7 linked regions of the Canis lupus familiaris genome follow. The protein of the gene in region 2 interacts with the protein of the main gene of each other region in a pairwise test. Links are inferred from orthologs where the notes say so. Each region holds a gene or a part of one and is shown on either strand. Other genes may lie near its edges.

Region 1 (4,184 bases), on a different chromosome or scaffold from region 2:
CAGAGACATAGGCAGAGGGAGAAGCAGGCTCCATGAAGAGAGCCCAACGTGGGACTGGATCCCGGGACTCCAGGATCACGCCCTGGGCTGAAGGCGGCGCTAAACCGCTGGACCACCAGGGCTGCCTAAGTCTGTATCTTTAGCACCCAAAATTAGGTAGCATCATAATCTGGCAATAATTTTTTGATCTGTAGACACAATTCAATGAGAAGTATTTGAAACAATAAAAACGAGTCATACTTCATTAAGCCTTGGCCTTTATTAAAAAGAGTACAATTCGGGATCCCTGGGTGGCGCAGCGGTTTGGCGCCTGCCTTCAGCCCAGGGTGTGATCCTGGAGACCCGGGATTGAGTCCCACGTCGGGCTCCCTGCATGGAGCCTGCTTCTCCCTCTGCCTGTGTCTCTGCCTCTTTCTCTCTCTCTGTGTGACTATCATTAAAAAAAAAAAAAAAAAAAAAGTACAATTCAGGGGACCTGGCTGTTTGTACATCATGTGACTTTTGATCTCAGGGTTGTAAATTCCAGCCCCATGATGGGGGTAGAGATTACTTAAAATCTTTTAAAAGGAAAATTATATGAAAACAAAGATCCAATTTAATCTAAGGTTAAGGCCGATTTTTTAATAAAGATTTTAATTTATTTATTCATGAGAGACACACAGAGAGTGGCAGAGACATAGGCAGAGGGAGAAGCAGGCTCCACGCAGGGGCCGATGTGGTGTGGGGCTGGTTCCTGGTACTCCGGGATCAGGCCTTGGGCGGAAGGCAGACGCTCGACCGCTGAGCCACCCAAGCATCCCACGGTTAAGGCCTATTAACAGAATCCCGCAGGCCACTGCCCAGGCACCCAATCCTGGAACCACAGAGTCGTTCTTGCCCCTACCCTTCGGCACCCGGTCCCGTCTCTTCCCATCTCACACTTAGGTGACTCAGCTTCCCACCAGGATATGCCTCTCCAGCCGGAAATGACTTCTTAGCCTCCAGGACCTCGCCCTTTAAGTCAGGATGGTGACCTCAGGGTCCTCTTTCTCTCCTCGCCCCCACCTGCCAGGTCAGGTGACCATTACACTTGCGGGGGTGCCCGAGCCGCCTCAGTCTGGGCAGTGATGGCTCCACCCCGCTTCTGCGGCCGAGTCCGCGCAGGCCCCTTGCAGGGCCAGGGTCTCCTCGGGTTCGGAAAGGAAGCCGAGCACAGTTATGGCGTCCACGACGCTAGGCCCGAGTGGGGACGTAGTGCCCGCTGCTCGGATGGCAAGAATGAGGTTCCCGAAGCTGAGAGCCGGACGCGGCGCTACCGGTAGTAACTAACCGGGGGACTCTCCCGCGCTTCCGGCCCCGCCGCCGGCAGGCTCCGCCCCTCCTGCCCGCCGGCACTTCCGGTTCCGGCCTAGCGCGGAAGTGGGCGGGCGGCGGCGTCTGCGCGCGGAGGAGCTGGAGGAGGCGCCGGGCGGCCGCTTCCCGCCCCCGATCCTGAGCCGGTTCCGAGCGGAGTAGATCGGAGGTCGGACCCGGAGCGGAGCCGGCTGAGCGGGCGCCGAGTCCCCGCCATGGCCCGGAACACGCTGTCCTCGCGCTTCCGTCGGGTGGACATCGACGAGTTTGACGAGAACAAATTCGTGGACGAACAGGAGGAGGCGGCGGCGGCGGCGGCCGAGCCAGGCCCGGACCCTGGCGAGGTGGATGGCCTTCTGCGGCAATATCCTTACCCAGCGCAGCGGCCCGGGTGTCCCTCAGGCCGGCCTCCTACCCCGCTACTTCCCGGCCCCTGAGGTCCGTTTCCCAAGTGCCTCCCGACCCGGCTCCTCTCAGGTTCCCTCAGTGCATGTGTCCTCCCTTCCCTCTGACGCGGCCGCTCCAGTCCCCTCGTCCGGGCTCGGCCTTCGGAGCCTCCTTCAGGAGCGCGGCCCCTGGACCCGGCTGGACCCGCCGGCTACTCCCGACGCACCTGCAGCCCCGCAGGCCCCTCCCTCCTCCGCGAGGCCTGGCCTCTTTACTCCCCTTCTGCCCCTCGTCCCCTCAGACTGACCGTTCCGCGGGCTCCCCCTCCCTCCATCCCTCCCTTGCAGGAAATGGGGCCGTTCTCGCGCCAGATGGGCGGGAGGGGCCGAGGGGAGCCCCGCTGAGTAATTGAGCTGCCTTAGACGGCTCCCGGGCACAGTCACCCCACGAAGTTAGGTGGGGGGTGGCCGAGGGGTAGGAAGGACCCAAGGGAGAACGAGGGCTGCAGCCTTAGGGAGACTGTGCGTCTCCCACCCCAGAATCAGCCTGACCCTCCAACTTCATGCCACTCTTTTTCACCTGTTTTGTTTCCTGTGAACACCTTGGGCTGTGGACCCTGATGTCTTAGCCACGTTCAACAAGTGACTTTTGGCTCCTTCCCCGAAATAGCCTTCTTGTGCAGGAAGCAGTGGGGAAAAGCTAGTAGTTTAGAGCTAAGAAAAACCGGACAGCATCAAGTGAAATGTAAAAGTAGAGCCTCATGACTGGAAGTGACTATTCTTGTGGCCGCAGAAAGCAAGCATTTAGAAAACAAGATTAAAAATAGAGGTGGTTGTCACAGCCTGCTTAGTCCCTTAGCCGTTTGAGCACAGGAAACTGACTTACTCTCACAGGAAGGATTTTTCTTTATTCAAATGGTGTTACGGGAAGTGCCTACCCCTCCCCCACACTTGCCAGGGCAGGGTTGGAGGCTCCTGTGTGTATAAATCAGGTTCTGGGTGTTTAATCAGTTGACTCAGCTTGGGAAGTCAGGCCCATGGACTACCTTAGGGAGGAGTCCTGCAGTGTTCCGCCAATGTGCCTTTGAAACAAAAACCTTCAGACTTTCTTTGTTTGAACAGGAATGTATTTTCGAAGGTGAGGATTCAAACTCGTATTTTCTGTGCTATCAGGATCATCTTATTTACCCCATTGGTGAAATGGGGTCATGAGGATGACCCTCATGAGGGAAGATTGATTCCGCATTCTGGTGCAGGACCTGGCTCATGGGCAGGCAGTACCAAAAAGGCTCCAACGTCAGGCTTCTGGCCCAGTACCATCCACAGATGGGGAGAACAAGGTCTGGTTATCTGCTGTCTTGGTCCTGGTGCTGCAGGGACTTGTTGAAGGTCATCTCTTGGTACGCCCTCGGACTAGTGATTGGTTCCTTGAGGCTGCTTGGAGGCCTAGGTTTAGCACATCCAGTTGGTGGCAGTTTCTCCACTAGTGACAGTGTCAGAAACCTTGTTACCATGGACAGTATATCTCTTGGGATTGGGGAAAAGGAGGTTAGCAGGTGAGAACTGAGATCCTGGCAATTGTGGAGCCCAGGGAGGGAGGAAGAAGGAACTGGTATTTACTGAGTCCCTACCATGTACCAGTTATTGGACTTAATATTAGATCACTGACTTAAACTGTAGAACAGGCTTTTAGGAATCTTAGAATAGAGACCAGAGGAGTGAAGATAGAGATTGATTGGTTGGAGTGGGGGAAGGTAGGGAGGAGAAGGCCTTTCTTACTGCCGTATAGGGAATCGAGTCATGCTAGGAATTCAGACAGATGAACTAGAACATGGGCCGTGTATCCACGCAGACTTCACTCTATCGTGCTATGACCTCATACCCTAACTGAACCTCAGCATCCTTTTCTGTGAAAAGGAGGGGAACCATGGCCTTACAGCTTCCATGGGAGCATCACAACAACATTGCAGAAGCTTCACAGTGCTGGGCACACAGCAACTGTCCTAGACATGCAGCTGAGGTATGTGGGTAGAGGGACAGCAGGGGATTGTATGTAGAAAAAGCTTGGCTCTGGAGTTGGGTATACCTGGGTTTGAAGGCCAGCTAGACAGCTTAGCTTTGTGACTTTGTCAGGTCGTTTCCTTTCTCTGAGTCTCTAATGCATCGCCTTTCAAATGAGAGTTGTTTGAAGTATTGAGATGACATGTGAAAGCACCTGGCACAGGAGCTGAAACCTTGTAGGGATTTTTAAAATATTCATTCCTTTTTTTCCTCACTGAAGAACCTTCTGGTCCTCAGGACTAGGGATCTGTCCAAAGCAGTGGTTTTGAACATTTTTGCACTTTTTCCTCCCCCTGAAGAAATTTGGCATTGTTTGGAGATATTTTGATTATCACAATGCTGCTAAACACCATGTCATGCAGACCTCACATCAGTTGTGTGGTCTAAAATGTCAGTGCTGTGGTT
Region 2 (3,450 bases):
CACTGCCGTCAGCGCCCGCCTTTCAGAGGAAAAGGTTCCTGAGAGCCAGCCACCACCATCCCCTGGGACCACAAAGGGCAGCGCTGCAGAAGGCAGGACCCATTGTGAAGGGGGGCGCCGCCTGCATCCTGCAAGCTGTTCTGATAAGCAGCTGTCGGGAGGGAGGGGGCTGCGGGCCGGGGAGGGGGAGGGGGAGGGGGAGGGGAGGCAGAGGCGGCTGTTATCGGGCTGGAGGGCCAGCCTTGAGCTCCTGCGCTGATGTCTTATCGCAAGCGTGCTCCTGTCTTGCAAGTTCAAAAGTCTCTCCCTAAAAAGAGAACTGGGGGCAGGGCTCAAGTTCTCGCCAGCGTCCCCTCCCCCACTCCGCGCGCACTCAGCCCCGCGGGAGGACGGAGTAGGTGCCCGCCGGGTCACCCCGCCGGGCCTTCCGGGACCGCCTGGGGCCCTGCACACCGCCTCCCCTCGGACAGGGACCCTCTACCCTCAAGAAAGAGAAGAAGTCTGTTTCACTTAGTTTATTGTTTAAAAAACAAAACTCCAAAGCTGCAGCAGCAGAATCCTTTAGAAACCGGAGCATCGCCCCGTCCGCTTGGTGCAGCGGTGCAGGCCGCTCAGTGGGTCAGAGCTCCTGTAACTGTCCGAGTCCAGAGTCCGGAGTCCAGGCCTCGCCTGCCTGGCCTCTCCCCTCCTTCCTGCGCAGAGCGCAGGCTGCTGAGTCACGCCCGCCCGGCCGGTCCGGCCTTCCCGGCCCGGGGCCCACGGCCCGCCTCCGGCCTTCCCGGGCAGGCCGCCGCCGCCCACACTCGCGGAGTCCACACTCGCGGAGTCCCGGGCTGGGGGCCAGCCCGCCCCCGCGCCCCCGCGCCCCCGCCGCCGGGCCCCTCCTGCAGGGGCCGCCCTCCTCGCCGCTCTCCGCGCAGCACTGCGGGCCCGCGCGCTCCGAGGGCGCATCCACAGAGCCAGCCGCGCGCTAGGCGCCCCGGTGTCACCACGTCGTCGATCAGACCAAGGCCCCCTCCGCGCTGTCACTCGGGGAGGGTGATACTGGGCACCCAGTCGTTGACGCTGCGGCTCTCCTCGCAGAACACGCTGAGCTTCTCCAAGGCGGGGTCCTTCCACGCGTCCTCATTGGGGTTCTGCGGGGAGGGCGCAGAGGTCAGCCTGGCCGGCCGCTGGCGCGGCGCGGCGCGGCGGGGCGGGCGGCGCTGGGGCGAGGCCACACTCACCGAGATGAGGATGCAGTGCAGGTCCCCCGGGGCGGCCGCCTCGTCGCCCGCGCCCACGATCGCCGCCAGCCTCTGCACGTCGCCCACGCGCACGATGTCTATGTCGTTCTCGCAGCAGAACGCCTGGATCAGGGTGAAGTGGATCTGAAGCGCGATGTCGCCCTCGTCCTCCGCGTCGGCGGCCAGCACGCAGAAGGTCACGTTGTCGGGGTCCCTGCGCGGGAGGGGGGGGGCGGTGAGGGCAGGGCGGCGAGCCCGGGGCGCCCCCGCCGCCGCCGCCGCCCCCGGTCACCCCACCGGGGCCGCGTCCACACTCACACATTCAGGACTTTGGCGGACTCATAGACGCCGGCGGTGAGGCAGCCCTGGCGCTGCGCGGACAGCAGCAGCTCGTGGAGTGCTTTCCCGGCGCCCTGCATCCTGCGGACGAGCCAGCGCCGTGAGCGCGCGGGGAGCGGCCAGGGATCCCCAGCCCCTGCGGTGACCCGGCCCCGGGGACGCACCCCCGTCGGTGCCCCAGCCCCCGCCCAGCGAGCTCCCCATCCCGGCGGGCCCCCGCGGCGGCCGCCCGACCCGCTGCAGCCCGCACGGGCACAGGCGCCCCGCGCGCCGAGACGTCCTGCGCCCCGCGCCGACCCACCTGGCGGTGCTCTCGGGGACCGTGTCTTGGCCTCGGATCTCCTCCAGAGTCATGGTGCGGTCGGGAACAGCTAGTATCCACGCAAGGAGCGAGCGGCGCGGACGCGGGAGAGGCGGGAGGCCGAGGAGCGGGGAGCGCACGGCTGGCGAGTGCGCCCCGGCGCGCCGCGCCCCCTTATATAGGCCGAGCCCGGGCGCCGCCAGCTGGCCCGAGGCTGCGCGCCCATTGGCCGGCGCCCGCTTTCTGATGCAAATGAGGCGGCCGCCGCGGCTCGTGCCAGAAGGCCACGTGGGGAGGGGTGCGGGGGATGACAATGCCTCAAATCTGCCGCTTTTGTCGGCGTGTTACCAGGCAGACGGGAGCCTGCAGATTTCACTCGCCTTTTTGTTGTTTCAAGTCCTTAAAAGGAAAAAGTTAAAAAAAAAAAACCTTAGCTTGCTAATATAATAAGACGCAGCACTTTATGAAATGCACCTTTGGGGAAACTGAAGATTTCTTTTTTTTTTTTTTTTTTGCATGTATTTTTGTGACTACGTTTCTATTTTTTTCTTTACTTGTAATTGGAAGTTTGTAAGACCGTTGTTTTTCAACCGGAATTTCAAGTAAAAATAGCCAGCGCGGGCTTTCCGCTTGCAAGCCAAAGGCCCAGGGGCACAGCCCCCTCCAGCCGCCGCACGACCGGAGCGCGCCCGGAGGCCTCGCCGCACGCCCCGCGCCGGGACCCCGCCGCGCCGGAGGGTCCGGGCCCACCTCCCCGCCCGCAGCCGAGCGCCGCGGGGCGCTGGGACGCGCGAGCAGATTGCGGCCGGCGCACGCGGCTCGTTTGCATTTCTATGGAGAAAGCACAATAGCGGAGGTCTGGCGTGTGGCGGTTTGCAAGAGGGACAATCGAGGCTTTCTCTTCATAGCGACACTACCCACCTGCCGCAGGGTGGGGTGGCTAGGGCCCCGCCGCGCGTGGGGGTCGCGGGGCTGCCCGGCGCGTGGGGGGCGGGCCACGTGTCGCTCCCGCGCCCCCTTGGTGCTCCTCCCCGGCACGGGGGCCGCTGCACCCCAGGCCCCTGTGCATGTAATTCCGCCCCCACCCTCCCCCCCACTGCCCCCGGGGTCCTCGCAGCGGCTGCCGCACAGTCTACGCAGCTTGAAGAACGCAGCTCTCAATCCCTTTCCCGGGGCGCCATCTGCAGGCTGTCCAGAAACACGGGGCACCCCGCCCCCACTTGCATTGCCTCCTAGGGTGCCAGCCTGGGCCCCTGCGGCCCTGCCTCCTAGGGTGCCAGCCTGGGCCCCTGCGGTCACCCAACGGCCCTGGCGGGTCTGCGGCGCCCCATCCCACCTGCGCGCTCAGGGAAGCCGCAGCAAGGGCTGCAGAACCTGCCCGCGGAGGGGAGGGCAAAAGGACACTCCGACCCAGGCCTGATGGAGGCAGAGCCCGTATTTCTTGCTGTTTTGAAACGTTTGAAATTACCCAAACATACATGTATGAAAGCTTGTTTTCCAATTATATCGTAATAAACCTAGAGGAGGTGAACAGTGCTGCGGTGTCACCGCTCTGGGGCAGGTAAGCCAGCACTCGGAGACCTC
Region 3 (3,500 bases), on a different chromosome or scaffold from region 2:
GTCTTCCCTAAATTATAGTGATTTGGAATAATTGACATAAACAAAATACTATGATAATTTAGAGGAGGGGGAGAGTATTTCCATTTGGGGGAATGTGAAACATTACAAGAAAATATCACTTGGTTGATAATGAGACTTTTTACCAGTAAAGAGCTGTACAATAGGAAGAATAGATTTCAAAGGTTTTTAAGTACTAGGTGCTATATAGTAACTAATATTTGTCATTTTTATAACTTTACATCTTTAAAAATTGTTTTATCTTTCAGCAACTGCTTTTCTGTTCTCTTATCTATAGACCTTTTTCACAAACACTTTGTAGTTTAAGGAGGGATTGTGTAGCCAATGAAATATTTGAAAAATCACTATGAGTCTGTACTTTTATTCACTCTTCCCCCCAAAGTTAGCCACTTACCCTTAATGATGTAATTCTCTATCAACTTCCCACGAAGACTTTAAATAAGTAATGGGCAGGGATTTATTTGACCTTTAGTTCAACCACATAAATTATTTATTACTTTAAAAATGCTGTTGAGTGTTTCGAACTATTGAGAAGAAAATTTCTTTTAAATACGCCTGCAACGATATATAAGGATGTGAAATATTCGAATTCACACTGAAATGTGAATTTGAGTTATTCAAAATATACAAGGATATAAATATGTTATATCGAAACACTCGTGCGCCTTACATATTTCGGTAAAATTGAATTAAGTATTGTGAACGTCATAAGGTGAAAGTCAGTTTTCCCTGACTCTCTGTCTTTTGTATAAACAAATAGGTAGTAAAATCAAACAGAAGGAGTCTGAACCAAACAGAATAAAATTAAAGGTAGCAGTAACTTGACTCAGTAACCCAAAGTAGGAACTGTGGAGCCTCAGTGATTCTTTACTTGCTCCTAACCCTAATGTTCAGTCTGTCACCAGGAACTGCCAATTTTATTTAAATAATCCTTCATTCCTGTTATCACACTATATGTCGGACATGCCCTCATCATTGCCCACAGGACTGTATGTAACAGCCTCTAAACCCATCATCATACTTCCTCCTTTCTTTTCCATCTGTCCACTGCCACTAGAATTCTTATTCTAAAATGTCAGTCTAATTGTATGATTCCCCTACGTGAAACCATTCATTGACTCTTAGTCACTCATGGAATGAAATCCAGATCCCTAATGTACTCTGTACAGATTTGTAGATATGTACTCTGGCTTTGGGTTCTAAGGGAGAAGTGTACTCCACTCGCACTGTGGCTTCATTGGTCATTTAAACTCTCCCTCTTCTGTGCTGCCACATCTTTGGACGCACTGTTCCCTTTCCTTAGAATTCCCTCTTCTCTTCTGCATCTTTTTGCTTCATTGACTCTTTTTCCTTTGATACAGGCATGCCTGACTCTTTTGCTCTATCATTTATGCACAATTTTGTTAGCATAAACAAAATTTTGTTCTGTTGGACTCTTCTGTATTCTAATAATTTATGTTGTGTGCCTGTAACATTCTTGCAAGTACCAGTTGTTGTTAAACCTTCGTGGTATCGCTTTAAATTTTCAAGAAAGCATCTGAAATAATAAGACAACATTTACTGAGTTCCTAATAGGCATGATACTTGATAAGAACTGAACACACACTACCTCGAATCCTCACAACAGCCCCTATGTAGTAGGTGCTGTTATTATTATTCCCATTTTTTCGAATAGGAGACTTAGAAGGTAACATTTCCAGGCTCCTCATTATTAAGATATGGCTAAGTAGGACTCAAAAGTCCCCTTCCTCACACGGTACCAATAAGACCCATTGTGTTAGACTTTCTAAAGATTTGCTTGCATTCTAAGACAGGATAAGTCTTTAGTCAAAGAAATGGATTATCTAATTGTGGGAATTTAGAAATCACTAAAGCAATGGAGGGAAGGAAATGGTGGTTGTTTTTTTTTTTTAATGGGAGACATCTTCACACCCCTTAAAGACAGGTTGCCAAGTACGCTACTTGAAAGCACCCTTGAATGTCTTCACTGAACTCGTGATTTCAACAGTATGGATAATAAGGGGTAAAGATGCATGTACTTTAGACCACTTCATTGACATATAAATAATATATAATAAATTGCACATGTTTAAAGTTTGCAATTTTATAACTTTTGACATATGAATGCAACCTTAAAATAAATCATCATCACAATCAAGATAATTAACATATCCACCATCCCCTGAGTTTCCCCATCCATTCCACACCCCTGTTCTTAGGCAATCAGTGATCTGCTTTTTTTGATTATAGATTAGTTTACGTATTCTAGAGTTTTATATAAATGGAATCCTTACGAGATGTGCTCTTTTTGGTCTAGCTTCTTTCAATCAGCATAACTTTTTTTAAATTGGAGTATAGGGACACCTGGGTGGCTCAGCGGTTGGGCATCTGCCTTCAGCTCAGGGTGTGATCCTGGAATGCCTGGATCAAGTCCTATATCAGGCTCCCTACATGGAGCCCACTTCTCCCTCTTTTTATTTTTTTATTTTTTTTTCCGCTTCTCCCTCTGCCTGTGTCTCTGCCTCTCTGTCTCTGTCTCTCATGAATAAATAAATAAAAATTTTTTTAAAAAAGATTAAAAATAAATTGGAGTATAGTTGACACAATGTTACATTAATTTCAGGTGTATAACATATAGGATTCATCCATGTTGTATAGATCAGTTCATTCTAAAGTTGCATATTTGGAATTACATTTGCCATTAGAAAGTAAATAATTTCTTTTCCTCTGTTGTGTCTTCTGCTTTAGTAAAGATTTAGATGGAACTGATTGAAAATTCTGTTGAGCTTAAAATGAAGACTTCTGAAACTTGTTTTGATGTACTATTTATCAATCCTTTAAGATTCCAGTGGAGATACAAAAAAAATATCCTTCTGCAAGGATTTAAATGCATTTTCATTTTCAATTAGCAGTCTTTTAGTCCACTATTAAAAGTTTAATGTAAAATCAAGTAGATCAACTCACTTTTGGAGTAGGATATTGTACTTCTTAAGACTATCTTCTTGACCCTTCTGGGGGAATCTTGAGGGAAATCCTTTTACTTGGTCTGATGTAAGAAGTGGGTATCTCAGAACTTCACACTGGCATTAGCTATGGATATTAAATGATAAAGTGCTAACCAATAAATATGATTTGAGTGATTTGTGTTAACACTGTACAGGAGCTCAATATGAATGGGAGAAGAAGTGCCTTTACCACTCAATCTTGGGTAATTACATTTCAACCTTATTACTTAATATTGGGAGGGAAAATTTTTTAGTCTGCTATTTTGCAAAAAAAGAAACAAAAAACAAAAATGGTTACATCCATTATTACTGCTATCCTAATCTCTTCCTCACCCTTTCTTAAATTTTCAGGTGGGTATAACCCATGTATAGAGATAATTGAACAGCCCAGGCAGAGGGGCATGCGTTTTAGATACAAGTGTGAAGGGCGATCAGCAGGGAGCATTCCAGGGGAGCACAGCACAGACAACAACCGAA
Region 4 (3,987 bases), on a different chromosome or scaffold from region 2:
ACTACTCCGTCTTCCCAGCTTCACTTCCTTTCCCTCCCCTCCCCTATACTGATCCCTGATAAACTTCCCTCACGCCAAAATACACCGGACAAAGTCCGTTTCCCAGGGAAACCAACCTGTGACAATGAGTTTTCGTACATAGGAAGAGATGATGGGTAGGAGGAGAATTGAGTGTGGAAGGTAAGAAATAAATGATGAAGCAGGGAAGAAGCCAAGAATGGGCAACTTATTCAGATCAGAGAATGACGGAAACCCAGCCCCTATGAAGGGCTGAGCACCTCGCCCCCTTTTAGTGCGGGACATACTCGACTGAAAGACAGACGCCAGCTACACACGCAGGATTCTGTGCCACCGAAACTACCACAGAGCACCGCGCTCAGGAAGTCGTGCTTTCTCTTAACCTGTCGGAACACTGTCGTTTCACTGCGCTTACCACGGAGCTAGGGGATGAGGGGCCAGGGGACTCGGCCCCCGAGGCCGGACAGTCAGTATGCGCCAGTTCACACTTCCACCGCCTGTCCCTCATAAGACGCCCTCGTCGGCCGCTCCTGCCGCCGCCTCCCTGCAGCCCCGGCTGAACGGCACCGCCCGCCCTTCCACCAGGGGCTTGGCCGGTCTCTCGGATGCAGGATTCAACACCGGGAGCCGGGAGACTTCTGAAAAGAATTTCTCCGGAGAGCCAAGTGAAGAGGAAAAAAGATGTCTATGGAGGGCGAACTTTCAGAGAACCAGCCGATTAACTCTGACGATGACTTTGACCGAGGCATGAGATGAACGCGCGGTGGAGGGAAAGGTCAGGTTAAGAAGAGAGGCAAAACTTCAAGAAAGAGGAAATGAACGAGAAAGCGCAGGAAGCGGCAATAAACAGAGCGCTGCCCACGGGCAGGCGTCTAAGAGGCGCGCACAGCGTCAGGCACTAGTCCAGAGCCGCCGCCGACGTCTCCTCCGGCGCTGGCGGGAAAGAGAAACGTGCAGGAGCGGCGAGCGCATTGGCAGAAAATTTACCAATGACCCCGGAAGCGTTTTATTTTGCGTAGGCATCTTGAGCATATCCTCTCGTGATTCGTTCGTTGATCCGGAAGAAGAGACACCAAACGTCCTCTGCGATTGGATCGTAGCATCGGGGCGGTGCTTTAGCGAGCCAGTCACCTCGGCGACCGGATGTGACGATGCCGGAAGCCGCTGACTGAGCTGGGCCCGGCTGGCGGCTGCGGTGGGCGGGGTCGGCCGAGCCCGTCCGGCGCGGTCTTCCCCACGGACCCAGCGCTGCTGGGGGCGGTGCCATTAAGGCCCCGCCTCCCGCGTCGACTCCGATTGGCTCTGGCGCGACGCCGTCGGCTCGCGGGGGGCGGAGACTCGGGCCGCTCCTCCCAGAGGCCGGGGCCGGGCCGCGTCGTCAGCCGCTGCGGTCCTTCCGGTTTCTGGCAGCCGCGTCGCCTCCTTCCGAAGGCTGGGGTCCTCCTTTCGCAGCGAACCCGTTGGGCGCCGTCCAGCCCAACACCGGGTCGCTCCGGGTCTCGCCCCTCGGGAGGCCCTCGGCCCCTCGTTGCCCACTTCCCTGGAGGTGCCGGCCCCTCCCGCCCCTCTAAAATGTCCAATCACCTCCAGAGGGTCTTCCTGAAACCCGCAGAGGAAAGCTCGGGCAACGCCTCGCAGTGGTAAGTACTGGTTGCGACTCCCCCTCAACACGCCTGCCCCGGCCCGCCTCTTAGCAGGGTGCCCAGGCGGCCTTCTCCTCCGGGCGCCCTGGCCCCGCAGTGGGCGCGCCTTGGGGGCGAGCGCCGGCCGGCGGGGCGCTCACGGCCCTGGAGCCCTCCGAGCGCTCGAGCGCGCCCCTCCTGGAAACGTGCAGCCTCGGCCCGCCCCGGCCCCGCACGACTCCTGCGACGGAGCAGCTCTCCACGGGAGAGGAAGACCAACATGGCCGGCGCGCCCGCGTGGACGGACGCCTTCTGGAAGGTTCTCGCGCACTCGCCGGAAAACACGCAGCGCGCGCGCGGACCAGCAGGTGCCGCCCAGGTGGTGCGGCCCAGATGGTGCGGCCCAGGTGGCGCAGGCCCTCCCGTGCGGACGGCTGTTCCTTCAGAGGAGTGAGAAGGAAAGGAAGAATGTGTGCAGGGGATGCTTAGGATATGAAACCACAACCTGAAAAATTGATCTCGTCTGAGGGAATGGATCTTTTCTTTTTTAAAAAGGATTTTGCTTATTCATGAGAGACACAGAGAGTTAGAGACCCAGGCAGAGGGAGAAGCAGGCTCCCTGCGGGGAGCCCCATGCGGACCTCGATCCCGGGACCGGGCTCTCACCCTGAGCCGAAGGCAGGCGCTCCACCACCGAGCCACTCAGGCGGCCCTGGATTTTGTTTGTAAATTTTAAATAGTAGTTTTATATGGAAAGGAAGAAAAGTAGAATGATTGCCACGTGAGATCGGTGGTTGGGAACAGAGTCTTTGAAGCAGCTGTAATGAGAACGCCCTCTCTCGTTGGATATCTCCCTATTTGACATAGGGAGATTCCAGGATTTCTTTTAAAAAGGCGTACGTGGTTGCACATTTCCAAAACAGTTTATCACTAAGTCAATTTTTTTTAAAGTTCTGTTAGTCAACATGAAATAAAAGGGGAACAGAACTGTTAGGGAAGATCGACTATTTTAAGTTGTAGACTCCATGGTTAGTGGATATAGTAAGTGGTGAGAAAAAACTTAATTGGTGTCTGCGGAAGGAAAATGTGAAGAAAGATGGAAATTGAGCGTAGAATTCATGGAAGAGGATTTATGTTTGAAGAACATCAAGCTGCCTAAATTTAATCCTAGCTTTGACAGTTAACAGTTCGTGAGACCAAGTGCCTTTCTCCAGTCTCCTTTCCAGTAAATTAGAGCGCCTAGAGATATTTTTAGAGTTAAAAGAATGAGTATATGTAGAATACTTAGTATAGAAAAAAAAAAAAAGCAGTACTTATGTGTTAGCTATTATTATGAGAATACGAGTTTATTTCTCTACAAATTTTAGCTCAGTAAGGTTTATTTTAATTACAAGTATATGCAAAATGGAATTGTAAGAAGGACTAAAAAAGCATGCACGGCATCTTAAGAAGAAACGGTCACTAAATGCGGTGAGCCAAAACAGCATTGAAGAGCTGCCAAGAACCATTGGGATTCAAATCGTAAACAGAGCCAGCTTGTGTGTACGTATAACGTTTTGGTTTACTTTTGGTGGAAGCTAGGAGGAGAAGCAGATGTAGTGTTCTGTATAGATAATGCAAAAGTAAAAATACTTTCTCATGGTTGTTCATTTCTTCTACCTTTGTTTTGGCCTGGGTATTTGATGACGTGTAACTTAACACAATTTGTTTTAAGAATGCATTGTTCTGCAATGTTAGAAATAAGATAGTATAAGAACCTAACCTTTTTATTTATTGTGACTTTAACTCTTTGACCCAATTTCTAAGCCTTCGGCTATATGTATTTGGCATTTTTAAAAACTTTACAAAATGAATTAGGTTTTGGTTACTTACCTGTGTAAGTCATTGGGAGTTCGTTAACTCATTGGTTTATGAATTGTGTACATCATCTTCAAATGCATTTATTTCTTCAAATCACTGAGATTTGACATCACATGTTCTGGACATTACCAGATGTTTTTTTGATGCCATTTGACTCTTATTTTGGTTATCGCTTGCGTGTTTGATTCTGTTCTGTTTTGTAAGTAATAATCTTCATGACTTGCAAGTATAATTTTATGAATCATTTGATTAATTTCAGCTCTTTAATTGGAAGCACAGTTTCTTGATTTTTTGATAATTTTGATGGTACTAAATCATTTTCATGAACTTAAAATGAGTATGATTTTTACTTTCTGTAGATGCTTGGATTTTTCTCGAGTTACTGCTGCTTTCCTTTTGTAAAGCTTTTCACGATTGCATTACAGGTTTATTGTTTAACATGTGTCTAGTTCATCATGGCATAAAGTATAAGAATCAGAACTAATCT
Region 5 (4,039 bases), on a different chromosome or scaffold from region 2:
CCATTTAACAGAAAATGAACTAATTTATTTAAATGGGCTAGGCCACCTTTAAGAAGCAGTGATTCGCAGCAAGTGTTGGGGATAGGAAATTGGGTGGATAAGCTTGCTGAAGCCGTAGATCTTAGTTTCTACTTGAGATCATGCGGAAAGACTGAATTTGAAAAATTCTTTTTAGGTTGCTCATGCTAGCAATCAAATGAGTGTACACTGTAGAAAAAATGTACCACGAGAGTAGACACACATAGGGTCTTTCTATAACGTAATGAAACTAGAGTTAAAAGGCAGACTGTGGGATTGAAATCTATTCTGAACTGAAGAACTAGACGTCTGGAGTACCATATGGGGTGAACGTGTGACTCGGGCTTCGGTAAAAGCAGCGGGCTCGGACTGGAACAAGCCAAAAGGCTAGCCCAAGAGCACATTCGTCCGGGTCACGGCCACCGAGTTGAAACCCTTGCGGATTCTCCGGCTGTGAAGGCGGCCCCTCGGGTCCCTCGCTGCCCTGGGAGCCCGGGCCTTGTACTCTCCAGCCCCGAGAGGAAGAGAAGGCAGGGGCGAGGGAGGAGCCAGCCCAGGGCGGACCTGCGACGAGCGGAGGAAGCGGCTCAAAGGGGCAGTCCTGGACCTTGGAGAGGACCAGGTTAAGAACTGGAGGTATACTGCGGAGGGAAGGCGTACTCCAATCGCCACACCATCTTTGCAGTTAAACCAGGAACCGTAGAGGGCAGATTCAGTACTTCCCCGCAGGGCCGCCTCCTCGCCCCCCCGCCCGCCCCTTCAGCTGGAGCTGAGAGTAATTCATACAAAGGAGGACTCGCTTCAGCCTCGGGGAATCCCAGGGACCGTCGTTAAACTCTCACTAACATAGAACGAGCGGAAAGCTCGTCCCCGCCTCCCCACCCACTCACTCTCGCCGTCATCGGGGTCAAGAGGAGCATGCGCGAGGAGATGTGCGCTCTTTAGTGGGCTGAGCGCACATCGCCCACGGTCCCCGAGCAGTAGGGGGAGGGGATGGCGACCGAACCGGTGCCTGATGGAGTTGGCGCGGGGTAAACTGGGAAAGTGGTGTCGTGTGCTGGCTCCGCCCTCTTCCCCGAGGGTGGGGGAGGACCGTATATAAGTGCCGTAGCCGCCTTGAACGTTCTTTTTCGCAACGGGTTTGCCGCCAGAACACAGGTGAGTGCCGGGTGTGGCTCCCGCGGGCCTGGCCTCTTTGAGCTGCCAGCGGCCCTCGCGTGCCTTTTACAACGGCCGCGCCACCGAGCCACTTTACGATGTTCTTGACCCCGAATTTCGGATTGTGAGTGGGTGGGAAGGTTCCAGGCCTTGCGCCTTTTTTTAGGACCCCTTTTGCCTCGTGGTTGGTTTGAGGCCTGGCTTGGGTGTTGTGGCGGCCGCGTGCGAATTCCGCCGCACCTTCTTGCCTGCCCTCGTACAGTGGTTTAAGCCTCCAGACGTTTGACCTACCAAAAGAAGGCCGCTATGGTTTTCTCCGTCGAGATGGTTGAGCGGAGGTTGGTCAGGACTTGAACGGGGTGGGCTTTTCCGCGGTCGTCGCGTTCTTGGGGTGTGGGGCCGCCGCGAGGCGCGGAGGGCGGCGACGAGGCCCGCTCGTCCCGGCGCACATGTCCGACGAGGCGGGGAAGGCCCACGAGCCGTGGGCGCCGCGTCGGACGCGGGAGAGTCCCGTGGAGTGGGCCGGGCGGCTCTGGTGCCGGGCCTCGCGCCGCGATGTACCGTCCTACGCCGGGCGGAGAGGCCGGCCCGCTCGGCACCAGTTGCGTGCGCGGAAAGATGGCCGCTCTCCGGCCCTGCTGCAGGCAGCTCAAAATGGAGGACGCGGCGGCCCGGGAGAGCGGGCGGGTGAGTCACCCACACAAAGGAAAAGGGCCTTTCCCTGTTAGGCCGCTGCTTCCTGTGACCCTACGGTGTACCGAACGCCGTCTTGGCACCTCCATTCCGCCTCAACGCCTTACAAGCAGGCCTTCCCCGGAGGGGGGAGGGGATTTTATGCGGTGGAGTTAACCCCACGCTTGGTGGGTGGAGACGAGAGTTGGGCCAGCTTGGCCCTGGTTGTAATTCTTGGAATTTGGTCTCTGCGAGTTTGGTCGTGGCTTATTTTCAAGCCTCCGGGACAGTAGTTAAAAGGGTTTGTTCCTACCCTAAAATTTAGGTGTCGTGAAAACCACCGCTAAACCTAAACCAAAATGGGAAAGGAGAAGACTCACATCAACATCGTCGTCATTGGACACGTAGATTCGGGCAAGTCTACCACTACTGGCCATCTGATCTACAAATGTGGTGGGATCGACAAAAGAACTATCGAAAAATTTGAGAAGGAGGCTGCTGAGGTTGGTATACTAACTTAATGAGAGATCGTTAAAAAAAAGTCGGCCAGTGTCAACTTCCCCAAAACTAGTTACTAGTCTATCAGAATCTGCTGCTTGTGGTAGATTGTTTGTGCTTGCTGAAGAGTTTTTTATCTATGTAACTTTGGGAGATAGAACTACCTAACTGTAAAGTGGAATCCGCATTTCTGCTTAAGCAGGAGTTAGGGATTTCAAGTTGGAAGTTTGTGTTTAAGTTACCAAGTAACCATTCTTAATCCTTACAGATGGGAAAAGGCTCCTTCAAGTATGCCTGGGTCTTGGATAAACTGAAAGCTGAACGTGAACGTGGTATCACCATTGATATCTCCCTGTGGAAATTCGAGACCAGCAAGTATTACGTGACCATCATTGATGCCCCAGGACACAGAGACTTTATCAAAAACATGATTACAGGCACATCTCAGGTTTGTAGGATTACTTGAAAATAACTGTAGGCTTGGGTTTTGTATGGGAAAAAAGGGGGAGTTCATCTTTTTGAGGAACATTTATTTAACAGGATGTCTTTTTGTCTTTTAAAGGCTGACTGTGCTGTCCTGATTGTTGCTGCTGGTGTTGGTGAATTTGAAGCAGGTATCTCCAAGAATGGGCAGACCCGTGAGCATGCCCTTCTGGCTTACACACTGGGTGTAAAACAACTAATTGTTGGTGTTAACAAAATGGATTCCACTGAACCACCCTACAGCCAGAAGAGATACGAGGAAATCGTTAAAGAAGTCAGCACCTACATTAAGAAAATTGGCTACAACCCCGACACAGTAGCATTTGTGCCAATTTCTGGTTGGAATGGTGACAACATGCTGGAGCCAAGTGCTAACGTAAGTGACTTCAAGGCTTTGAGGAAGTGATAGAAGAGGCATATGTTGACACTAAATGACAACAGTTTGGGGAATGCTAATGGACAATCTTGTTTTTTTAGATGCCTTGGTTCAAGGGATGGAAAGTCACCCGTAAAGATGGGAATGCCAGCGGAACCACACTGCTTGAAGCCCTGGATTGCATTCTGCCACCAACTCGTCCAACTGATAAGCCCTTGCGTCTGCCTCTCCAAGACGTCTACAAAATTGGTGGTAAGTTGAACATTGCCATTTAAAAATACGATTTATGGATTGTTCTTCACAGAAGGTATCTGACACGATGCTTCTAAATATTTTAGGTATTGGTACTGTCCCAGTGGGTCGAGTGGAGACTGGTGTTCTTAAGCCTGGTATGGTGGTCACCTTTGCTCCAGTCAATGTTACAACTGAAGTAAAGTCTGTTGAAATGCACCATGAAGCTTTGAGTGAGGCTCTTCCTGGGGACAATGTGGGCTTCAATGTCAAGAACGTATCTGTCAAAGATGTTCGTCGTGGCAATGTGGCTGGTGACAGCAAAAATGACCCACCAATGGAAGCAGCTGGCTTCACAGCTCAGGTAACACACTTAAGAGTGGCAATGTTCTCTTTGCTAGATCCTGTTTGAAATGTATTAAATGCAATTTTTTCCTCCAAGGTGATTATCCTGAACCATCCAGGCCAAATCAGTGCTGGATATGCACCTGTGCTGGATTGTCACACAGCTCACATTGCCTGCAAGTTTGCTGAGCTGAAGGAAAAGATAGATCGTCGTTCTGGAAAGAAGCTGGAAGATGGTCCCAAGTTCTTGAAATCTGG
Region 6 (4,239 bases), on a different chromosome or scaffold from region 2:
ATATTCAGAGAAAGTGTAATAAAACATACTTGTGTTTTCCCCACTCGGCCTACGCCACCCAATTTGCCAAAGCCCTACCCTGAGTTTATACCTAGAAGATGCTGGATTGCTACTTCGTTACCCATCTTGGCGATGGGAACCTCATCCTTGAACAAACACTTATAGCGGCTTTACAAGAGCTGTGGATCCCGGAGGCGCGGGTGGGAGGTTATAAAAGGTTGGAAGGCCTACACCTGGGTGGCTCAGTGGTTGAGCGCCTGCCTTTGGCTCAGGTCACCTCTCTCTCTCTCTCACGAATAAATAAAATCATATATATATGTATATATATATATATAAATATATAATCTAATAAGATATGGCAGTACCTGCCCCAAATAAAAAGCTCACAACTTAGTTGTGCGCACCTGTTAGCCTGTTATTACCAACCTCTCTCTCTTTTTTGGAGCGTGAGGTTGGGAGAAGGGTATGAAAGCTAATATTCTCTTTTTTAAAAAAAAGATTTTATTTATTCACGAAAGACACAGGGAGAGAGGCAGAGACAGGCAGAGGGAGAAGCAGCTCCCTGCGGGAAGCTGGATGCGGGACTCCATCCCAGGACTCTGGGATCCCAACCTGAGCCGAAGACAGACGCTGAACCGCTGCCCCACCCAGGTGCCCCTGAAAGCTAACATTTAATCGAGCAGGTACTATGCGAAAGGACACTCTTCTATGAACTTTAGTATTAACTCATTTGGCCCTCGACTAAGCGTATGACGCAGGTAGTATTCCATCCCTGTTTCACAGGTAAAGAAACTGAGGACAGTGGCTAACTGCCCTCGAGGTCACCCAGCCCCGCGGGGCCAGGGGACGCCGAGCGCAGCGAGCGCGCGGAGGCCGCGGTGCAGAAGGCGATGACAGGCGAGGGCCCGGGGCGGAGCACAGAGGGCGGGCTTTACCTTCGTCCGAACGCCAAGGCCGCCTGCTCACTGATTCGTGTCTCCCCATCACTTTGCCTGCTGGCCCCACAGCCAGGAATGGAAAGTTTAAACTCCCAGCTCCGTAAGATTCGGCCTGGATCCTGAGAAGACCCTCCCGTAGGCGATGGACGGCTCGCTCCCTCCTCACAGCCAGGTCGGGAGAGCAGCAAGGGGCTGACTCCGGCGGGCGAACTACAACCCCCATCACTCCCCGCGCGGAAGGCTGGGTCCACGCGAAGGGAACGCGGGGGTGTTCCCAAAGTGCCTTGAGGAAAAACAAAAAAAAAAATCACGAACACCTCCCGCCGTTTTTCCATCTTCACACAGGCCTCGCTTCCATCATCCGTTTTGATGGAAGCGCAGTGAGGCCTGTAGAGTTCGCTTTGTCTTCAGGCACAGCAGAGGGCAGCCGGGACGACGGCGCGCGGGCGCGAGAGCCCCGGGGCGCGCGGGGCGGAGCCTGCGGCGGCGGGGCCGGGGCGCAGGCCGGAAGTGTGCGAGGACGGAGGGAGAGGCGTGAGTGGCTGCGGGCGTGCGCTTCCGGCCAGTGCGTCGACGTCGGCCGGCCGCGGAGGGCTCCTCGGCAGGCTCTTCGGCCAGCACCTTACGCACCCCGCTGGCTCGCAGGCCTTGGGTCTCCGCTCATCTCGCCGTAGGCCGTGACGACATGAGCAGCAAAGAAGGTGGCGTCCTCGGCGGCCCTGGGCGTTCTTTATTCAAAGGGGGAGGATCTCCCTCCTTTTTGTCGGATTTTCCACTTCGCTTCCCGCTTGAGGGATTGCCCTCTCCCCATGCAGGCTCGGGGGCGGGGTGGGGGGGAGGGGCGGCCCCGGAGATTTCCTGGCCACCTCGGGCCTATGCACACCTGGCCATTTCTTAAATCCTCGAGCTGTGTCTTTGATTTTAGTTTGGTCATTGCTCCACCTTGTGCCAGATCAGGAAAGCCACTGGTGGAGGCCCCGGGTGAGGTGAGCTTAGGATTGGGGGGTGGGGGCGGGGGTGGGGGTGGGGGGAATAAAAAGGCAGGGCTGCTGCTGCGTGAGTCGGCCGAGCAAGCGAGCAAGCGAGCAAGCGTCTCGGGCCAGGGCCCCTGGGCGCGGGTGTGAGAGCGAGGCAGGGGCCAGCTCTGGTGCAAAAGCCCTACCCAACTGTTTTCTCCTTCTCTACGTAAGGATCAGGAGGGTTCAGGAAAAGGAAGCACGACAATTTCCCACATAACCAGAGAAGAGAAGGGAAGGATGTTAATTCATCTTCACCTGTGATGTTGGCCTTCAAATGTAAGTTTTCTGTCATGGAGGTTGGCGAAGGGAAGAGAGCGAGAGAGGTGGTAGCAAGGAGCGTTTAGGCATGTTGTGCTGCACACACCGTTAGGACGTGAGCTGTGCCGGTGTGACCCTTGTACCTTCTTCCCCCAGAGGTTAGCTGTGGTGCTGGGTCTGCCATTAAAGTCGAGGGTACTCAGGTGTTGGCTTTTTTTTTTTTTTTCCTGTAAGGGTTCTACAGGTAAATATTAGCATCAGAAATGCCACATCACTAAAAATTACTGCGTCCCCGACATACAAATATGTATCAGCGATATAGATCTGTCAGCTGTATGTATACATATAGATTTAATTAGTTCACTTTGTGTTTTTTTTTTTAATTATTTATTTATTTATGATAGTCACAGAGAGAGAGAGAGGCAGAGACACAGGCAGAGGGAGAAGCAGGCTCCATGCACCGGGAGCCCGACGTGGGATTCGATCCCGGGTCTCCAGGATCCCGCCCTGGGCCAAAGGCAGGCGCCAAACCGCTGCGCCACCCAGGGATCCCTAATTAGTTCACTTTGAAGCGTATATTTTGGTTTTGGCTCCTAAGCTAGAATCTTGAAGACCAGGATTAAGTTTTTTGTTGTGACTGTCACACCTCGCACAGAGCGGGACCTTTTCTATTAATAAGTCATATACATGCCACAGATATACGGCACATACATAATGTCTGTGTGTGTATGTGTTATTCACAGGCCTCCTTTTATTTTTTTATTTTATTTTATTTTTTAAAGATTTTATTTGTTTATTCATGAGAGAGAGGCAGAGACATAGAGGGGGAAGCAGGCTCTCTGTGGGGAGTCTGATGTGGAACTCCATCCCAGGACCCCGGGATCATGACCCGAGCTGAAGCATATGGGATGCTCAATCACTGGGCCACCCAGGTGTCCCTCACAATCCTCTTATTAACTTGGTTGAGTTGCTCCTCATTTCAAAAGAAAGCATAAAACAAAAATCTCCTTCCTGTCATCCTGTATCCACCCTCCTACACCTTACAGTTAGAGCCTGAGAGTGCCTGAGCTGTTGATTCTCACTCTCGGTCATCTGAAGACCTGAGTGGGCCTGGAGGATCCACCTCAGTTGACCAGTCGGGCCTTCTGCCAACAACCAGCTCTCCGTCCTCACAGGAAGCTACTTGAGTGGCCTAATGTTATGGCAGCTGGCTTCCTCGATCAAAGCAAGGAGGAAACCAGTCTTCTTAGGTCCTGATCTCAGACACAATACGCTGTTGCTTTTGCTACATTCTGTTTGTTAGAGATGAGGCAGTTTAAATAACTCTGCTTCATTTTTATTTTTTTATTTAAAAAATTTTTTTTTTAAGATTTTATTTATTTATGAGAGACAGAGAGAGAGAGAGGCAGAGACACAGGCAGAGGGAGATGCAGGCTCCATGAAGGAAGCCCGACATGGGACTCGATCCCGGGTCTCCAGGATCATAACCTGGACTGAAGGCGGCGCTAAACTGCTTAGCCATCCAGGCTGCCCTCTGCTTCATTTTTAAAGGGAACAAATTAGGTTCCACCTTTTGAAGGGAGTCCTAAATAATTTGTGGGTATATTTTAAAATCATGGCACCTACATTGATCTTTAGATGTATAAAACAACTTGTAATTGCTTAGTGTATTGATACAATGAATGGTATACACAGTGCAAAAACTGCAGTGGGCCAGGGTTTCCCCATCATTGTACTCTGACACACCATATACAGAGCTGCTTGTTTCCAAGCATATGTTGCTTTTGTATGTTTCTGTCTGCGTTTTCACACATAGTTCTTTAAGCTCAAAATTTCTTCTAATTTGCTAGTTCCATTGTCCATCTGGTGAACCATGGTTTCCTTCATAACCTAGTTCACATGTCTTCTTGGAAGTCTTTCTGACTTTTTTTGTCAAGCAAATTTATTGACAGACATTGCATTTATTCATTATCCATTCATCCATTTGGTCATTAAATATTTATTGAGCATCTACTGTGTTCTAG
Region 7 (3,500 bases), on a different chromosome or scaffold from region 2:
CAGTTCAGGGATCAGGGCTGTGACCAAGACACACACACACACACACACACACACACACACACACACACACACCAATGCTATGGGATCCCTTAGGAGGTGCTGACAGTTCTCTGAGAAGGTCAGAAGGAAGATCTTTGAGCTGGGTATTGAAGGATGAGTAGGAGTTTTCTAGCAGAAGCTAAGAGAACACATGGAATAGCATAAACATGGGCCTGGAGGCATGACAGGGCCCAGCAGGGCAGTGCCGATGACAAGAGCAGAGAGCATGTGGGGAGCTAAAGCAGATGACATTCAGAGAGGAGGAGGCCCCTCATCCTGGCCCGGGAGCTAGGGGGAGCTACACTCTCTCTTCCCTGAGGAGGGGCAGGGGTCTAGGGTCTGCCCCAGCCACAGCCCCTGCAGTCTGCCTGCCTTTCTCCAAGGTGCCGCTCCTTCTGCCAACCCTACAGACGGCTGCAGCCCAGCCCATTCCATCATGGATGGCTACTACGAGGATGCAGACAGCAGCTACCCCGCCACCAGGATGAATGGGGAGCTAAAGAACTCCTGTAAGTGCCAGGAGGGTGTTCAGAATGGTCCTGTCCTCAGAGGGCAGACCTTGGCCTAAACTGTTGGCATGCATGTGTACCTGGCCCTCTGGGTCACCACAGAGGCCTCCAGCCCTTGTACTCAGTGACTCCAGGGTTCAGTGGAAAGACCACTGGCATGGAACCGGGAGCCCTGGATCTAGCCTTTGCCCTGCCCCTTGGTGACTGACCTTGAATGAATCATTTATTCTCTGTGAGCCCCCAGTTGCCTTCTTTGTAAAATGGGGACTTGCTGGGTGCTGTGAGAATCACCTGAGACTAAGGACACAAAGATGGTGGGGTATGACAATAGCTGATGTAAGCAGGGTACCCACCGAGTGCCAGACCCTGGGCTGAATGCTCTGCAGTTACTGATCCTAAGAGCCCGGTGAGGTAGTTACTGTCATTGATTGTGACCATTTTACTGATGAGAAAACTGAAATTTTGAGAAGTGAAGTCACCAAGATGGCAGAGCCACTGGTAAATCCACACAACACAGCACCCGTGTCAGGGTGTAGAGATCATCATGATCACAACTGAAGTCCTGGTCCCTGAACCCCAGAGTGGAAGGGTCAGAAGGTGCCTCCCAGGCAAGGACATGGTAACGGGTCATTTCCCATGGCTCCTACAGACAATGACTCTGACCCAATGAGCAGCTCCTACGAGTCCTACGATGAGGAGGAGGAGGAAGGGAAAGGGCCACAGCCCACGCACCAGTGGCCCTCGGAGGAGGCCTCCATGCACCTGGTGAGGGACTGCAGGATATGTGCCTTCCTGCTGCGGAAAAAGCGCTTCGGGCAGTGGGCCAAGCAGCTGACGGTCATCAAGGAGGACCAGCTCCTGGTGAGTGGCCGAGGAAGTGTGCCTCTAGGCCTCACATGGACTTACACGTGTGTGTGTCTCTGTGTGCGTGTGCAGGCGTATCTACCCCAGGTCCTCTGGGCTTGCTTTGTGCCCAGAGGCTCAGTGCTTCTGAGATAAGGGCTCTCCCACTAGAGCAGAATGTAAACACACACACATGCACACACACTCAAAGACCTGACATAGACTTTAACAAGTTTTTGTTTCGCCAGGAATGAATTTTTTATCACTTCAAAACAATGTTTATTGATTTCATTATGCAACTAAATGTGTTTATGTATAAAACTGGAGAAAAACATAATGAAAATGTTTTTATAAGGTTTTATTTATTTGAGGGCAGCCCGGGTGGCTCAGCGGTTTAGCGCCACCTTCAGCCCAGGGCCTGATCCTGGAGACCTGGGATCAAGGCACACGTCGGGCTCCCTGCATGGAGCCTGCTTCTCCCTCTGTCTATCTCTCATGAATAAATAAATAAAATCTTAAAAAAAAAAAAGAATTTATTTATTTGAGAGAGAACAAGAGAAAGAGAGAAAGCACGCACACAGAGGGAGAGGGAGGAGAAACACACTCCCCACTGAGCAGAGAGTCAGAGACGGGGCTCAGTCCCAGGACCTTGAGATCATGACCTGAGCAGAAGGCAGATGCTTAACCGACTGAGTCACCCAGGAGCCCCAAAAGTGATTTTTTAAAGCCACCTATAATCCCATTGACCAAGAGCTAACCACTGTTATGTTTTAATATACATATTTCCACATATCCGCCTTTTCTAAAATTGAGCCCATTCAGCACTTACTGTGGAACTTGCTTTCTTAGTTTTTTTTAATTTGCCATCTCTCATCACCATCATTTTATAAAAGAAAATGTACCTTTAATTCCAGAGTAGGAATACAGACATAATTTCAGAAAAAAATAATAGCTCTTTTACCCCAAAATCTGTTGACAAGCCTTACCCAACATCTATCCATTTGAAACATGACTTTTTCTCACCCCGGAGCAGTGAAAAGCTCACCCCAGGCCAGAACCAATCCAAAGGTCATGACTTACTTCTTCTCATCCCGTTTGTCATTTTTTTCTTGACATACCGCATTGGTTAGGATCTCCAGCACAATGTAAATAGAAGTGGTGAGAGCAGGCACCCTTGTGTCAGTCCAGATCTCAAAGGGAAAGTTGCAATAATTCACTATTAAGGCTGATATTTGCTGTGAGTGGTTTGTTGAAGCTCCTTATTGCCACATTAAGGAAGTTCCCCCTCTGTATCTCTAGGTTGCTGAGAATTTATGTTACAGATGCATGGAGAATTTTACCAAATGCCTTTTCTGTTTCTATTGAGATATGTGGCTTTTCTCCTTTTTTTCTATTCATATGATGAATTATAGGGTTGGCTTTTAGAAGGCTAATACACTTTTGCAATCCTAGAATAAACCCTGTTTGGTCTTGATACGGTATGCTTTTCCATGTGTCTGGGATTTCTATTTGCAAGTAGTTTTTTAAGGGCTTTTGCAACCATGTTGAGATTAGCCTATCGTTTTCCTTTTTTTGTAGTGTCATTGTCAGGTTCTGATATCAAGGTAATGCTAGCTTCATAGTGAGAATCGGGAAGTGAGAATCATTATTGATAAACTGTTGACTTCCTAAGCCCAACCGTCCATCTCTGCTAGAATCCTCTCTCCCACATTCCTGCTAGTAGCACATGAGTAGCAGGGAGCTGGCTTCCTTCCAAGCCAGCTTGTTTCTTCTCTGGTTCTTTAGACTAGAATGGTCTTCCTAGTATTGTGCTAAAATCTGCCTCTTCCTAATAGATGGCGGTGCCCCTGGGGCCCCTCGGTGGCGCTTGAGACCTGAAGATTGTCCAAAGACGCCCCCTTCCAGGCTTCTCTTCTCTGAGATGAATAGCCACAGCCCCTGTCTTCACGCAGTACCCACAGTTGGGCTGGGGGAGCGGGGGGCAGGTCGAGGTCGCTCCCCCAAGCCTTCATGCGAGGGCATCTCCCTCCTCCGCCCTCCAGTCCAGAAGGGTGACCCCTTCTCTTCCTGTCCAGTGTTACAAAAGCTCCAAGGACCGGCAACCGCATC

Evidence for each region.
Region 1: the proteins of GADD45G (region 2) and ARPC5L interact in binary tests that used the Homo sapiens proteins (3 or more experiments, as listed by UniProt). The link is inferred for Canis lupus familiaris from reciprocal best matches to the Homo sapiens genes GADD45G and ARPC5L.
Region 3: the proteins of GADD45G (region 2) and REL interact in binary tests that used the Homo sapiens proteins (3 or more experiments, as listed by UniProt). The two-hybrid records come from large-scale screens. The link is inferred for Canis lupus familiaris from reciprocal best matches to the Homo sapiens genes GADD45G and REL.
Region 4: the proteins of GADD45G (region 2) and LRIF1 interact in binary tests that used the Homo sapiens proteins (3 or more experiments, as listed by UniProt). The link is inferred for Canis lupus familiaris from reciprocal best matches to the Homo sapiens genes GADD45G and LRIF1.
Region 5: the proteins of GADD45G (region 2) and EEF1A1 interact in a two-hybrid assay, tested with the Homo sapiens proteins (2 studies listed by BioGRID and IntAct). The link is inferred for Canis lupus familiaris from reciprocal best matches to the Homo sapiens genes GADD45G and EEF1A1.
Region 6: the proteins of GADD45G (region 2) and TSNAX interact in binary tests that used the Homo sapiens proteins (3 or more experiments, as listed by UniProt). The two-hybrid records come from large-scale screens. The link is inferred for Canis lupus familiaris from reciprocal best matches to the Homo sapiens genes GADD45G and TSNAX.
Region 7: the proteins of GADD45G (region 2) and AFAP1L1 interact in binary tests that used the Homo sapiens proteins (3 or more experiments, as listed by UniProt). The two-hybrid records come from large-scale screens. The link is inferred for Canis lupus familiaris from reciprocal best matches to the Homo sapiens genes GADD45G and AFAP1L1.

The regions. Positions count from the first base shown.
Region 1 is NC_049230.1:58,232,479-58,236,662, reverse strand, and holds the start of ARPC5L (actin-related protein 2/3 complex subunit 5-like protein), read left to right. Parts: upstream 1-1,384; 5' UTR 1,385-1,547; coding exon 1,548-1,696; intron 1,697-4,184. UniProt on the Homo sapiens protein: May function as component of the Arp2/3 complex which is involved in regulation of actin polymerization and together with an activating nucleation-promoting factor (NPF) mediates the formation of branched actin networks.
Region 2 is NC_049222.1:97,451,825-97,455,274, forward strand, and holds GADD45G (growth arrest and DNA damage-inducible protein GADD45 gamma), read right to left. Parts: upstream 2,027-3,450; 5' UTR 1,920-2,026; coding exon 1,867-1,919; intron 1,647-1,866; coding exon 1,545-1,646; intron 1,441-1,544; coding exon 1,227-1,440; intron 1,137-1,226; coding exon 1,026-1,136; 3' UTR 501-1,025; downstream 1-500. UniProt on the Homo sapiens protein: Involved in the regulation of growth and apoptosis. Mediates activation of stress-responsive MTK1/MEKK4 MAPKKK.
Region 3 is NC_049231.1:62,284,008-62,287,507, forward strand, and holds part of REL (proto-oncogene c-Rel), read left to right. Parts: intron 1-3,374; coding exon 3,375-3,500. UniProt on the Homo sapiens protein: Proto-oncogene that may play a role in differentiation and lymphopoiesis.
Region 4 is NC_049227.1:41,480,201-41,484,187, forward strand, and holds the start of LRIF1 (ligand-dependent nuclear receptor-interacting factor 1), read left to right. Parts: upstream 1-1,187; 5' UTR 1,188-1,590; coding exon 1,591-1,658; intron 1,659-3,987. UniProt on the Homo sapiens protein: Together with SMCHD1, involved in chromosome X inactivation in females by promoting the compaction of heterochromatin.
Region 5 is NC_049233.1:35,820,480-35,824,518, reverse strand, and holds the start of EEF1A1 (elongation factor 1-alpha 1), read left to right. Parts: upstream 1-1,239; intron 1,240-1,354; coding exon of another isoform or gene 1,355-1,463; intron 1,464-1,526; coding exon of another isoform or gene 1,527-1,627; intron 1,628-2,173; 5' UTR 2,174-2,207; coding exon 2,208-2,351; intron 2,352-2,614; coding exon 2,615-2,794; intron 2,795-2,908; coding exon 2,909-3,205; intron 3,206-3,306; coding exon 3,307-3,457; intron 3,458-3,543; coding exon 3,544-3,800; intron 3,801-3,878; coding exon 3,879-4,039. Other genes in the region: uncharacterized protein LOC119874198, read right to left, coding at 337-582, 909-1,239, 1,355-1,463, 1,527-1,627. UniProt on the Homo sapiens protein: Translation elongation factor that catalyzes the GTP-dependent binding of aminoacyl-tRNA (aa-tRNA) to the A-site of ribosomes during the elongation phase of protein synthesis.
Region 6 is NC_049225.1:8,342,384-8,346,622, reverse strand, and holds the start of TSNAX (translin-associated protein X), read left to right. Parts: upstream 1-1,439; 5' UTR 1,440-1,623; coding exon 1,624-1,639; intron 1,640-2,128; coding exon 2,129-2,233; intron 2,234-4,239.
Region 7 is NC_049225.1:60,553,896-60,557,395, reverse strand, and holds part of AFAP1L1 (actin filament-associated protein 1-like 1), read left to right. Parts: intron 1-422; coding exon 423-548; intron 549-1,197; coding exon 1,198-1,409; intron 1,410-3,466; coding exon 3,467-3,500. UniProt on the Homo sapiens protein: May be involved in podosome and invadosome formation.